Elephas maximus indicus: one gene and its partner. The protein of the gene in region 2 purifies or fractionates together with the protein of the main gene of each other region. This does not show direct contact. Links are inferred from orthologs where the notes say so. Each region holds a gene or a part of one and is shown on either strand. Other genes may lie near its edges.

The links.
Region 1: the proteins of SIN3B (region 2) and SAP30 purify together in Homo sapiens (affinity purification with mass spectrometry; 4 studies listed by BioGRID and IntAct, with this or other methods). This does not show direct contact. The link is inferred for Elephas maximus indicus from reciprocal best matches to the Homo sapiens genes SIN3B and SAP30.

What each region holds. Positions count from the first base shown.
Region 1 is NC_064839.1:69,620,283-69,628,130, reverse strand, and holds the start of SAP30 (histone deacetylase complex subunit SAP30), read right to left. Parts: upstream 3,041-7,848; 5' UTR 2,802-3,040; exon of another isoform or gene 2,488-2,801; 5' UTR 1,761-2,487; coding exon 1,440-1,760; intron 1-1,439. UniProt on the Homo sapiens protein: Involved in the functional recruitment of the Sin3-histone deacetylase complex (HDAC) to a specific subset of N-CoR corepressor complexes. Capable of transcription repression by N-CoR.
Region 2 is NC_064821.1:37,015,892-37,022,925, reverse strand, and holds the start of SIN3B (paired amphipathic helix protein Sin3b), read right to left. Parts: upstream 3,063-7,034; 5' UTR 3,049-3,062; coding exon 2,923-3,048; intron 2,670-2,922; coding exon 2,563-2,669; intron 527-2,562; coding exon 373-526; intron 1-372.

The DNA.
Region 1 (7,848 bases), on a different chromosome or scaffold from region 2:
TCCACCCTGCTAAAACTTAGAAGCCTGACAAACTTGGTAATACAACCACAGCTAATAGGACAGAGGGGGAGGGGTGCCAGACAGTGAAGGGAGGGAGGCAGAGAAAGAATGAGAAATTCCAACCCACTGAGTTTTGTCACCAAATTGTAGCTAGGGTGGACTGAATTAACTAGTTAGTTCACTGCTGGATTTTTAACTGACAAGGGGAAAGACGATGTTGTCCACAATTTTATTATCTGTTTGATAGTATCTTCTCTTTTTAAATAGCATATTTTAGTATATGCTTCCTGATTTTTTTTCTAACTTATCCAAATTATATCTCAGATACAAAAGCTACATTCATTTTACAAATGAGCTACTCATTTCATATTCTAACCATATATGAATTTCAATTACAAACTTTTCTTCCTGAGTATTTAAAAGAACCGTATTTATCTACAATGTTTTTCCAATCAAAGCAACCTGAAATTTTTCTATTCACCTGAAAAGTTTTTCATGAACACGACTTGAAGAACTGTTTCAGCCGGCAGAAAGTATCACAAATTAACTTTTCAAAAACTTTAATTACATACAGTCTTGAGAGCTGGACAGTAATATTTGAAATACTGGGCTTCATACATTGACAGTTCATTCCTTTAAAAAGAACGATTAGGGACGGAGCTATAGGCTTTTAAATCTCTTGCTAAGTGCAACTGAAAAAAATAAAGGAGGTGGGCTAGGTTCTGGCATCTTGTTATCCATATACCGTCAAGCCAGAGCTCCGAAAAGTGGCAATGGCTGTTTCTAAAAACCTCACGGATGGCCCGAGAATAGACGCGCAGAAAGAAGGGAAACAGAAATCCTGATGGCTGCCCAGCGGACGGACAGCCGAGAGGCGACGCGCTCCCCACGTTCGGAGCAGAAAACGCTCCCCACCCAGCTTCCCTGCTGGGCGGCGGGAGCGGGAGGGGGGCTCGGGTCCCCCCCCCCCCGGTGCTCCAGGGAACGCCATGGAGCCCAGAAACGAGCAGGATCGCCCTAGCGCGTGGGGCAAAGTCCTGCACGACCCCGCTTCCCCCAGACGAGAGCAACTGCTCCGCCGGCCCCACGCCAGCTCTGGGGACAAAACAAAGGCGCCTCCACGGCAGGAGGGGCTGCCGGGCCGCACGGAGCCCCCTCCCGGGCCCGGAGCGCCGGTGCCCTTTGTCTGGCTTCCCGGCCGCCCCGAGAGGAAGGAGGCGGGGAGCGCGCGGGAGAGGCGCGCGGAGGGCGGCGGCGGCCCGCGGCCAGCGTGCCCGTGTGCAGCCGGCCGTCTGCGCGTCCCGGGCGGCCGTCGGCGTCGCCGCCACCGTGTCGCCCGCTTCCTGCCGGAGATCTCACAACCGGCCCCGCCGTCACCAAGCCGCCCCGCCGCCCCGCGCGCCGCACGGCCCCCAGCCCGCCGCCCCCGCGGCACTTACGCTCTTGTCCAGCTCGATCTTCACCTTCTTCTGGGAGATGCTCTTCTGCACCCTCTTGCTGAAGCTGGCGTTGCCCGCCGCCCGGCTGCACCGCTCGCCGTCCTCCCGCAGACAGCACAGCTGCCCGGGGCCCGGCCCGGCCGCTCCCGGGGGCCCGGCCGCCGACACCGCCCCGGCGCCCGGCACCTCAGCCCCAGCGCCCACCCCGGCCCCGTTCCCAGCCGAGGCGGCGGCGGCGGCGGCGGCGGCGGCCACCACGGCAGCCACCGCGGCAGCCGCGTCCCCGCCGCGGCTCATCTCCTCAGGGGTGAAGCCGTTCATGTCTCCCCGCTCGGGGGCGCCGGCGCTGACAGAAATCCTCGGCCGCCTGGCCGCTGCTCCTCCCTCCTGGGGTGCTAGGGAGACAGCGGGGGCCCGGCCGGGTGTCGGGGAAGTTCACTGGGCACCGTGTCCGGCGGCGGCACCGCCAAGGGCCGAGCGTCCCGGGCCGGCTGGCGTCTGCTGGCGCCGGGACAGCGGACACTGTTTGTTCGGGACTCAGAGGCGGGCGGCGCCTGGAGCGGCGATCCCGTTCCCTGTCACATGCCGTCTTCAGCAGTTGGACGGCCGCGCCTCCGCCTCCCTGCAGCCCCCGGAGCCGCGCAGGCGCGACGCGCCTCCTTCCCCGCCCCCTCCACTCTGCCGCGGAGCACCACGGGGACTGTAGTTCTCTGCGGCGGAGTCAACCGGCGCTCCGCCCTGCCCCTGCCCGGGTCCCTCGCGAGTTGAAGGAACTACTTATCCCAGCATGCATCGCGCGGAGACGGGCCGGCTGAGGAAGCTCTCGGACTCTATTTTTGTTTTTCGAAACGCCGGGTAAACAGGGACGTGTAATTGGCGGTTACGGTGTTTTCTCCGCACTTGTCTCTCCTGGGAAGTTAGGCCGTGGTTAGCTCCTGGGATTTCGCGGAGTCAGTGGTGTGGCAGTGTACTGATCACACCTCCCGCGTCAGACCAAGCGGTCAGCCGACTCTTGAGGCAAAGCACAGCGGAGGCGGGAGGAGTAAGCCTGTGGGAGGGTGGGGAAGGGAACAGAGTTTCGGGGCCGCTTTCCTCGCTGTGGCCAACAGTTCTTGGTGTGACCGCGCTTTATGGGGAAACCTAAATCAAGGAGAACTCGGGCGTCCTGGTGCTTTCCGGGCCCTCGGGGGAGAGCAGCCCCATCCATTCACGCACCCAATTAACAGGGCATCTGCTGCTCGGTGGAGAACGCCCATCCCTACCCCTCGCCCTTGACCGGTCCTCCTCACAAATGCCTCACTGAAGGCCGTGTCTAAACCCTGCTACATTCCTGCAAGGAACACGTTTGGGTTTGGGGCTCACTAAGTCAGCTGCTTCGTGATGTGGGGCCACTGACAAGCTGACAGTAGCAGGGCTGCTCTTCACCGACACCTCCAATCCTTTCCATTTCTCCTCCGATGGATCCGGAAAAGGGCGGCGTCTAAGAGAATGTGAAACCAACGGCAAAGCCAAGGCGGCTGGCCGGCTCCTCAGGAACTTGCCAGCGTTAGCTCCCCGGAGTGCGAGGGGAAATGGAAACCACATCCCTGGGTCGTCCCGGCGCGCGTGCACGTGCGCGCGTGTAAGGGCGTGTATGTGGGTGCGTGCGTGTGTGCGCGTCTGCATGCGGAGGGCGGGGTACAGGATGGGAGGGCTGACACGAAAGCTGCGGCTTTACAGTGACTTCGTTACAGCGCTTCCTGTATCAGCAGATACGCCTTGTCTAACGATCCCAGTGTTTATATAAAAATACTTAATATTTCAGACAGGACTTCTTTTTGAAAGTTCTCTTAGACTTACTACATTGAATGAAAGACGATTTTTAAAAAATGTTTGAAAATGCTCTCTACGTTGTTATTCAAAGCCGTCTTTTCATGTGTAGTATTTCAGTTCCAGGATATGGGAAAGGAAAAAAAAAAGTAAATAAACTGAGTGGGAAAAAGGAAGATGCTGAATAAGCACTTGGTGTTTTTTAAGCTGCACTGTCCAATAGGGTAGCCACTAACCATATATAGCTATTGAGCGGTTTGTGGTTATTGCGACTGAAAAACGAACTTAATTTAAATTTAAATACTGACGCGAATCAGTTAATGGAAAAATGTTTAGTATCTCTGGAACTTAGATAAATGTGTCCTTTCAACTTAAATTTTAAGAAAATTAAATATAGCATCTAAATTGAGATGTGCTGTAAGTTTACACTACACGCTGGATTTTTTTTTCTTTTTGTTGTGCTATAAGTTTTTGTAAGTGAAAGTTTAGAAATCAAGTCAGTCTCTCATACAAAAATTTATATACACCTTGCTATATACTCCTAGTTTCTCTCCCCCTAATGAGACAGCACACTCTGTCTCTCCACCCTGTATTCCAGTGTCCATTCAGCCAGCTTCTGTCCCCCTCTGCCTTCTCATCTCCCCTCCAGACAGGAGCTGCCCACATAGTCTCATGTGTCTGCTTGAGCCCAGAAGCTCACTCCTCACCAGTATCATTTTCTATGTTATAGTCCAGTCCAATCCCTGTCTGAAGAGTTGGTTTAGGGAATGGTTCCTGCCTTGGGCTAACAGGAAGCTCTGGGGGCATGACCTCCAGGGTCCTTCTAGTCTCAGTCAGGCCATTAAGTCTGGTCTTTTTACAGAATTTAAGGTCTGCATCCCACTGCTCTTCTGCTCCATCAGGGATTCTCTGTTGTGTTCCCTGTCAGGTCATACACACTGGATTTTAAACACTAGGTACAAAAAAAAAGAATATTGAATAGTCCGTTAATAATTTTTACATTGATTACATGTTGAAATGATAATATTTTTTGATATACTGGTTAAATAAAATATATTAAATTAATTTGATCTATTTCTTTTTTTAATGTGCTACTCGACAGCAGTGGGGTTTACTAGAATATTTAAAATTACACATATTGGTCACATTGTACTTCTATTAGACAACACTGTTTTCAAAGTATTAAAGCATACTGTTTATGGATATATTTTCTTAAATGGTAAAAAGGAGGACATATGAATGGATGGATACACCCCAGCTCAGGATGGTGGTCACATCTTGGGAGGGAGACCAAGGGATAGTATCTGGGAATGACTGTTACAGATTGAATTGTGTCCCCCCTCAAAATACATGTTGGGGTCCTAACTCTATACCTGTGGATGTAGTCACATTTGGGAATAGGGTTTTCTTTGCTGTCAGTGTAGGGTGTGTCTTAAAAAGAACAGATCAGACACAGAGACAAGCAAGTATACATGGAGGAAAGATAGATGCCATGTGGAGATCACCAACGGACCAAGACTAGAGAAGCTGAGACAAGGATTTTTCCCCAGAAAAGACAGCCTTCCCCTAGAGCTGGTGCCCTGGATTTGGACTTCTAACCTAGTTTGGGAATTGTGAGAAAATAAGCTTCTGTTTGTTAAAACCACCTACTTGTGGTATTTTTGTTACAGCACTAAGAAAGTAAGACAATCTTAAAGGCAATTTCTGCTGTATTTGTAAGTATATATATATAGCAAAGATAATAGTGGGATATTGGGTTTTAACCTTTTTCCTTATAATGTATTTTAAAAATAATTCACATTTAAAAAAAATTCATGGTATTGTTTAGTTCTTGCTCTTACAAGCTTGTAATTTATCTTCTGTAAAATGTGACCAAATCAGTTCACGTATGTATGTATGGGTTAGTTATGTATCAGTTTTACATGAACTTTACTAAAGTCAAGAATTGTGGCTATACCTCCTTTATACACAATACAGTATTTTTTCTAAAATATCCAATTAAACACTCGTTTATTGCATATTGCATACTAGGATCTTTTTTCTGTGGTATCGCTGGTTCAGTGGTACAACTCATCTTCCATGAGGGAGACCCACTTTGATTCGTGACCAAAGACCTCCTGCAGCCATCACACATCTGGCAGCGGAGGCTTTCCCGTTGCTAGTACGCTGCATAAGTTTCAGCAGAACTTTCAGACTAAGATGGACTGGGTAGAAAGGCCTAGCGATCTACTTCTGAAAAATTAGCCAGTGAAAACCCTACTGATCACAATGATCGGATCCATAACCGATCGTGGAGATGGTCCAGGACCGCACAACATTTTGTCCCATTGTGCATGGGGTTACTCCACAGCAGGCAACAACAATAGGATCTTTTCTAAGTCCCTGGTGATAGAAAAAGAGTTGGGAGAGGGTCTTAGCCATTTTGGCGCTCACCTGTTACTAGGGGAGACGGCTTGACAAGCACGTTTCAAAAGAGCATGATACAGGCCTTCATAGAATTAGAGAAAAAGTATAGACATAGCACCTAGGAGAGAATGATTAATCTCTGGTAAGTAGAAAGGACTCCTAGAGTAAGTGACATGTAAATTCTTACTACCAGGTTTAAAGTACCTCTTCAATAAATTTTTCATGATTAACATATTTCATTATTTATTTTATAAATTTCATATGCAGGGTGGGGACTCCTTGCTTCAAGTGTAATTCCAAGTCAAGGTTGGAATCAGATTTTAGGGGACCTCAAGCTTATATAATTTGAGGAGCCCTCTTTAAGTAAAAGCATATAAAATTATCAATGCAAAATTAGGTACCCACTGTCCTGGAGTCGATTCCAACTCATAGCGATCCTATAGGTCAGAGTAGAACTGCCCCATATGGTTTCCAAGGCCGTAATCTTTACTGAAGCAACCACCACATATTTCTTTTGCTGAGGGCTAGTGGGTTCCAACTGCCCACCTCTCGCTGAGCGCTTAACCACTGCACCACTGGGGCAAAATTAGGTACAGAGCTTGAAAAGGATCTGTCCAAGTGAGGAACAGATTCATGGGCCTGCAACCAGTGCAGCCAAACAGAGCCCCACGCTCTGAAAGGCCCTTCTCCCTGTGTACTGCACTGCCCACCCCCTTGGGGTTTAATCTCTACAATCACTATCATGAACTTCTTTATAATTTTATCTTTGTGTTTGTGTTTTACAAATGAAGTCTAATGGAACACTGGAGGAGGAGCTGGGGCTTGAAGCCCTAGATTACTCCAGGTAGCTGATGAACCAGTCAGCTTCCCACAGCGTCCCTGCTTTTCTCCACCCTCCCCTCCAGTATCGGTCTGATCCACAAGCACCATCACCAGGAGTGTTGGTCTGGTAAGCAGGCTCCTCCCCACCCCTGCCCTCACACTGAGTCACAGAGCAGGGCTCTGGACCCCCGTAAAGCTCTGCATTCAACCTGTAAGAAACCCTGTGTCCATTAAAAAGAATCAATAAAAGATAAGAAAACATCATGACAGGCCCAGAGAGAGACTGTGGAAGAGAGGAAAAAGAATTTTTCTCCTGCGTTTTGAACAAGAGGCCCCACATTTTCATTTTTCACTGGGCCCCTTAATTACATAGTCAGCCTTGATTGACAGCCCAGAAGGCCCCCATCATAAACCCCCTCTCCCTTCTATCATTCTATGGTATTTACTATGACACTTTTCATTATAATTTTACCATATTTACCCCTAAAAATATTTTTTTTAGTTTTGCCTGTTCTTGAACTTTATATAAGTAGAACTATGTAGTCTGTATTCTGATATCTTTGGCTTAATTCACTCTGGTTGTAAGACTATACTTGTATATAGTTTAACTAACTCTTTTCATTATAGTAAATATTCCATTGTATGAATAAACTACAATTTTGTTATCTATTCTATTGTTGATGGAAGGAGCCCTGGTGTCACAGCAGTTAGCCGTCGGCTGTTAACCAAAAAGCAGTTTGAACCCACCAGCTGCTCCCAGGGAAACACCTGGCGATCTGCTCCCATAAAGATTACAGCCTAGGAAACTCCTGTGGGGCAGTTCTACTTTGTCACACATGGGTAATAACAACAAAAACATTATTGATGGACATATGGCTTGGTTTCAGTTTAGGGCTATTGAAAGCAATGTTGCCATGGAGTTTTTGTACATGTACCCTGATATACATGTGCTTGCAGTTCAGTGGAACCCTGGTGGCTCAGTGGTTAAGAGCTTAGCTGCTAATCAAAAAAAAAAAAATGGTCGGGAGTTCCAATTCACCAGTCTCTCCTTGGAAACCCTATGGGCAGTTTTACTATGTCTATAGGGTGGCTCACATAGTAGGAATAGATTCGATGGCAACGGGTTTGGGTTTGTGTGTGCGCGTGCATTTCAGTAGGATATATATTTATGACAACAGTTGCTGAGTCAGAGGGGTATTGCATAGCTTCAACTTTACTAGATAGTTCCTAACTTTTTACACTTCTACAAGCAGTGTCTGAGAGTTCCATCTTTTCCTGCAATTTTGTATTTTTATGCCTTTTTTTTTCTTTTAACAATCTAATGGGTATAGATGGTATAGATATAATCAATTTTCCTGATTATTCATAAGGT
Region 2 (7,034 bases):
CACAAGGGTCACTGTGAGTCAGAGTCAACTGGACAGCAACTAACAATATCCTATGCCTAGCCTAGATATTTCGTGTAAGTGAGATCACAGGATGCAGTTATTCTGACTTCGAGGAAAATTCTGGGGTAGGAGCAGGCTTCCTCGACGCATGTGATATAAACTCTTCAGGCAGACCCACTTGGGATTCAGGGGCTGCCTGTGGAGGCGTTTTGATCTAGTTTGATTCGTGCCAGAAATCAGCAGTCTGGCTTTAAAAAGACCAGATCTCACGTGGCTTCCAGCAAAGAAATACCGCCCTGCCCCCTCCGGCCAGGTCCCAGGACACACAGCGCAAACACCCATTCAGGTAACTGACGCCCAGCGGCGGCCTACCTGGTTCGCCAGTGGTGACTGTATGTTTAATTTGCCGTTCTTGGGGATATCAATCCTGTATCCCAGGGGGAGGAATGCGTTGAATCCAACGATGAGGTCGGGGTGCTCGTGAAAGAGCTGAGACACACGTCTGATGACCCCGGGAGTGTCGATGCTAGGACAAAGAGGGACACAAGTGGACAAGAGGGTCTTGGGGAACAAATCAAAAGCAAAACCTATTTCCGACTCTCTCCACAGTACCACGTAATGGAGCTTTCTGACTGGCAACAAAGCGACCTAAAATATACTCATCTGCTGCATGATTCTACAGCCAGTGATCTATTTCCACAGTAGCGAGGAAAGAGCATTGGTGGCGCAACGGTTAAGTGCTTGGCTGCTAACCAAAAGGTGGTTGGTGGTTCAAACCCGCCCAGCAGCTCCACGGGAGAAAGGCCTGGTGATCTGCTCCTGTAAAGACCATGGCCAAGAAAACGCTATGGTTTTCTACTCTGACAGTTCTACTCCATCACCTGTGGTCGCTGAGAATTGGAATCGACTCAAGAGCACCCAACAATAACAACAACCATGTCTGTTCAGAGCAGCGAGGCCTGGGCTCCCCACACCCTCTTCCTGAGAACCGCTGAATATTTCCCCAGCATGGCTCCCAAAATACTTCAATAATGTGTGCTCAGTTCCGAAAACTGTCAAAACCAAGGCACCGAACCAGCTGCCATCAAGTCGACTCCAACCCACAGCAACTCCATGTGTGTCAGGGTAGAGCTGTGCTCCAGGGCTTCCTTCCAAGGTGCCTTTGAATGGATGTGAATCTCCTATCTTTTGGTAACTGGCTGAGTATTTAACCATTTGCACCACCTAGCAACTCCTGAAAATGTCAGAAGCTCTAAATGCAGGGCTTGGACTCCAAGAGGTGGCGAGAGGCCAACCCCCTCCACGCGAGGTGATAAAGTCTGTCACTTTGTATGAGTTAGGATCACCCATGACGCAGGTTTTGATCCAAGCAACTCACTGCAATGTATCAACACCCAAAACCTTGCAAGTATCAGGAATGCATACAAATGAGAGGGGAAAGGGGGGCTTTGTCATTACTGTAGTCCCAGCACAGGGCTGACGCTACTTCGTAGAAGGAAACCGGGGGGGGGGGGGTACCCAAACTCATTGCCACTGAGTCAATTCCAACTCATGGAGACCCCATGTGTGACAAAACAAAACTGCTCCATGGGGTCTTCTTAACTGTAATAAAGACCTGGCGATCTGCTCCTGTGAAGATTACAGCCTACAGGAGCAGATCTACCATCACACAGGATCACTATATGTCAAAATCAACTTGACAGCACCTCACACCACCACCGACAATCTTCATGGAAGCAGACTGACAGGCCTCTCTTCCACTGTGCCACTGGGTAAGTTCGAACCACCAAACTTTGGATGTGCAGTCAAGTGCAAACCGTTTGTGCCGTCCAGGGACCCTCAAAACCAGCCCTGCCATATTTCCTAAGAGAGTGGAGCATGTAGGTGGGCCTGTGACAAGCAAGAATTTAAGGGTTGGGGGGTCTGAGTTCTAACTTGGCCTCTGTCCCTAAGGTGCGTGTGGGCAAGCCCCTTGCCCACTCCAAGCCCTGATCCTGAGGCCAAGATCCTGAGATTCCCCATTTATCTGAAACCTTCCTGATTCTGCCTAGAAAAAGAGCTAATGTCTTTAAACACTTTCCCTGTGGCAGGTCCCTCACTAAAGGCTTTATGCACATTATTTCCAAGCAGGACAGGGTCTAGGGGAGGCAAGGGAGGCACTCAATTTGGATACAAAATTTAAAGGGGAGGGGCACTCAATCATCAAAACGAAAAACACTGTAATGCAATGCTTGCAAGAAAAAATTTAGGCAAAAAAATTCCTTAAGGAACAAAAGTTATTTAAAGCCAACGTTTTAAATAAACGCAGGATCCAACTTTGCATTTGTCTGACCTTATCTCCCCTAATTCCAGCCCTGCTTCCAAGAATCCCCACCACAGTTCCACAAGGTGGGTACGATCCATCCCAACATTAGAACAAGAAACGGAGGCTCACAGAGGTTCAACGACATGCTCAAGGTCATTCAGCTGAGGGGCAGCAACCGGGAAGGGGTCTCTCACCCTGATCAGCCCGGTTCGGGGCCCAGCGCGGCCCTCGGGGGTGGGGAGGGGCCCCGCGGGTACCTCTGGCTTTTGAACTCCTTCATGATCTCCAGAAAACCGTTGTAAGTGGCAGGGTCGCTGCCGAAGCGGATCTTCACCTGGTCCAGGTAGGTGAGGGCGTCCTCCACCTGCGGGGAAGCGGAGGGTCCCGGGGGGCCAGGGTCAGCGGAGGAAGGGGACAGAAGTCGGGAGTCCCCGACGGGAGGTGGGCAGGCCGGACCTGTGCGGGGCTGAGATGAAAGGTCGGGGTTCCGGGGTCCGGGGCCGCGGAGGGGAGGCCAAGAAGGGGCGGGGGCCAGGACCGGGCGGGGCCGGGGTGAGGGGCGCCGGCCTGCGGGGGCCGGAGAACAGGGTCCCCGAGGGAGGGCGGACGCCACTCACGTGCACCGGCAGCTTCTCGTGGCCCGCGGAGGCCGAACGGCCCCAGCGGGCGCCGCTCAGCCCCCGGCCCGCGGGGTGGCCACCGCCGCCGCTGCCACCGCCACCACCGCCAGCAGCGTGCGCCATGTTGGAAGTCGGAGCAGCGGCCCGCCCCGCCCCCCCAGCCCGAGCTCCGGCCGCGCATGCGCACGCTCCGCCCCGGGGCTAGGGCTAGTGCTGCGAGGAGGGGCGGGGCTCTCGTTGGGGAATCTGCGTTGTACCCCTAAACATGAAATAGCGCTTAATGGCCGAGGTGCCGAGGTGCCGAGGTGAATAAACCGAGACCCAGCATCTGTTCTGTACGTCCCTCAAGCTAAGAGTGGTTTTTACATTTTTAAATAGCTGGGGGAAAAAAATCTCAGGAAAAAGTGTATTTTATGGCACATGAAAATTTAATTTTATAAAATTAAAATGTCAGCATCCATAAATAAGAGTTTTATTGGAACACTACCATGTCCGCTCATTTACCCATCGTCTGTGGCTACAACTCACAATTGAGTAGTTGCGACAGAGGCCCTAAGACCCGCAGAGACTGAAATATTGAACATCTGTTCCTTTATGGAAGAAGTTTGCCAATCCCTGTGTGCTGCAAACGGTTGAGTGCTGGACTAGTAGCCAAAACGTTGGAGGTTCAAACCAACCCAGAGGCTCCTCGGAAGAAAGGCCTGGTGATCTGCTGCTGAAAGGTCACAACCTTGACAACCCTATGGAGCAGTTCTCTGCATGTATGGGGTCACCATGAGTTGGGGTTGACTTGACAGCAACTAACACAACAGCTTTATAGGGTTGGTGTGACCGTGGGATAAAGACACGCAGCATCCAAATAAAAGGCCCTGTACAGTGAATGTTTGCTAAATAGCCCTTGGCTTAGTCCCACTCCTCCTATCCTCACTTCTCTTGTCCTGGTCCCATCACCTCCCTCTGGACCAGTTCAGAAGCTTCATTGGTTTTCCCAGCCCCATCTCTATCAAGAGCCAAGATCCTTCCACCACTGCTGCCAAACCCGTGAGGTCTTCTTATTTTTCCTGAGATGAAATCAAACCACCTACCCCTTAACATCGTCAGAATCTGGCCCCTACCAACTTTTTTTTTTGCAGAATTTTCCACCCAAGCAAATTGTACTTTATGTGTGAAGAACTTCCCACAATTCTTTGTCCAGCCAGGCTGCTTCCTGGCCCCATACATCAGCACACACCATTCCCTTTGCCAGGAGTCATGTTTTGTCTCTTTGTCACCCAGAAAACTCCTACACATCCTTCAAAACACATCTCAAATGTCCCCTGTCTCAGGAAGCTTCCTCTGACCCCTCCTTTGGCCTCCCACAGTCCCTTGTGCATCGTCTTCATTTTGTGTTTTGTCTCTAACACAAATGCCTGATACAGAGTTTCATCAACAAGCATTTACTGAGTGAATATTCAATGAATGACCAAATATTATTTTTCTTTTAGTATGTAAAGAGGTGCAGGAAAGCTGAGAATAAATAGGTGGTGTATGCATCATTTTCCAGGTGGTGTTAGGTGTCAGGTATAGAATGGTTGTTAAAACAAGGCCCGGGGTCACCAAGAAAGACATGACTCACACACAGGCATTGGGTGGAACAGCACTTTACTCACACAGAGAAGAGGCAGAGCAAGGTCAGCTTCAACATTAGGCGTCATTCTTCCATGGCCATGGATCACTCCCTGTAGCAGCTGATATAGGTACGATGGTCTGCATGCATCCCTCCTGCCGGGATCAGGTATAAAAGTGGAGCTAGCCACATGCCATGTGACACACGCACTTAAGTAGTAAGCAGACTGGGTACCCAGAACATGAAAGAAGATTCCCTGATAAAGAAGAAGAAACTGAGACAGAGACTCAGTTCCCAACCTTACTACCAGGGAATGTTCTAGGCCAAAGGACTCTGATTAGGTCATCTGGTGAGGGTTTGAAGGTCCCATACCCAATAATAGTGGACAAAAAGTAACACTATTCTTGCCCTCACAGAGCTTCCTGTGTTTTAGGATAGGTAGATATGAATCAAATAATCACAAAAACAAATGTGAAGTTTCAAGTATAACAAATGCTTCAAAGACAAGGTACAAGTGTGTTCCAGCTACTGTGTCTGCATAACAAACTGCCCTGAGACTTGTTTTTTTGTTGCTCCAAGCCATAGTGACCTTATTATAACAGAACAAAATGTTGTCAAGTCCTGTGCCATCTTCATGATAGTTGGTATGTTTGGGCTAATCTTCCAGCAATATATTGGATAATATTCTGTTGTGCTCCATAAGGTTTTCATTGGCCAATTTTTGGCAGTAGATTGCCAGGCCTTTCTTCGTAGTCTATCTTAGTCTGGAAGCTCCACTGAAACCTCTCCCCCATGGGTCACCCTGCTGGTATTTGAAATACTGGTGGCATAGCTTCCAGTATAGTAGCAACATGCAAGCCACCACAGCATAACGAACTGACAGATGGGTGATGGATCCAAGACTTAGAGGCTTAAAAATGACAACACCATTTTATTTTGCTCACCAGTAATCTGCAGTTTGGCCAGGCTTGGCAGGGATGGCTTATCCCTGCTCCCCTCGATGTCAGTTGGGGTGGCTGGAGGTTGGCAGTTGGACCTATCTGCAGGTTTGCATACTCAGAAGTGAGGTGTAGGCTGACACCTTAGCTGGAGATATTGCCTGGAACTCTGACATGTGACCTCTCCAGGCAGTTTGAGCTTCCTCCCAATATGGCAACTGGGTTCCAAGAACAAGGGTCCAAAGACAGAGAGCCAGGCAAAAGTCATATCACCTTTTATGACTTAGCCTCAGAGATCACACAGTCACTTCCATCGCATTCTTTCCCTAGAGGCAGTTACAGAGTCCCTCTCTAGTTCAAGAGGAGGAGAAGTAAACTCCAGAACTTGGGGAGGGGTTAGGTTCTGGAATAGCACATGCGATGGGTAATATTGCTATGACCATTTATGGAAAACACCACCTGTGGCCCTGGGGACTTGCGGGGAATGTGGCATCAGGATTGGAGGAAGACTCATTAACAACCTGCAGGACGCAGATGACACAACTTTGCCTACTGAAAGTGAAGAGAACTTGAATAGCTTAATGATGAAGATCAAAGACCTCAACCTTCAGTATGGATTACACCTCAACGTAAAGAAAACGAAAATCCTCATAACTGAACCAATAAACAACATCATGATAAATGGTGAAGAAATTGAAGTTGTAAGAATTTCATTCTACTTAGGTCAACAATTAATGTCCATGAAAGCAGCGGTCAAAAAATAAAATAATGTAATGCGTTGGGGAAGTCTGTTGCAAAAGACCTCTTTAAAGTGTTCAAAAAAAGAGAGACCTGGTGGTGCAGTGGCTAAGTGCTCAGCTGCTAACCAAAAGGTTAGTGGCTCCGTGGGATACGAACCTGGCTCCTATAAAGATTACACCCTAGAAAGCCCTATGGGGTAGTTCTGCTCCATCACATGGGCTGCTATGAGTCAAAATCAACTCAACAGCATCTCACAAAAACAGCAGAGTGTTAAAAAATCCAAGATGTCGTTTTTATGACTAAGATGCACCTGACCCAAGCCGTGGTCTTTTCAGTCGTCTCACATGCATGCAAAAGCTAAACAATGAAAAAGGAAGATCAAAAGAGAATTGACACATTTGAATTGTGGAATTGGCAAAAAATACTGAATATACTGTGGACTGCGAGACAAATGAACGGATCCGGCTTGGAAGTACAGCCAGAATGCTACTTAGAAGAGAGGATGGTGAGACTTTGTCTTGCTTACTTTGCACACGTCATCAGGAAAAACCAATTGCAAGATAAGGACATCGTGTTTGGTAAAGTAAAGGCTCAGGGAAAAAGAGGGAGCCCCTCTATGAGATACACTGACATGGTGGCTGCAACGATGGGTTCAAAGATAACAACAATTGTGATGATGGCACAGGACTGGACAATGTTTCGTTCAGTTATACATGGGGTTGTCATGAGTTTGCGCTGCCTTGAAGGCAGCTTACAACAGCAGCAGCAGTGGAATTTGGGGAAGGCTTCCCAGAGGAGGTGGCATTATAACTGAGATATGAAGG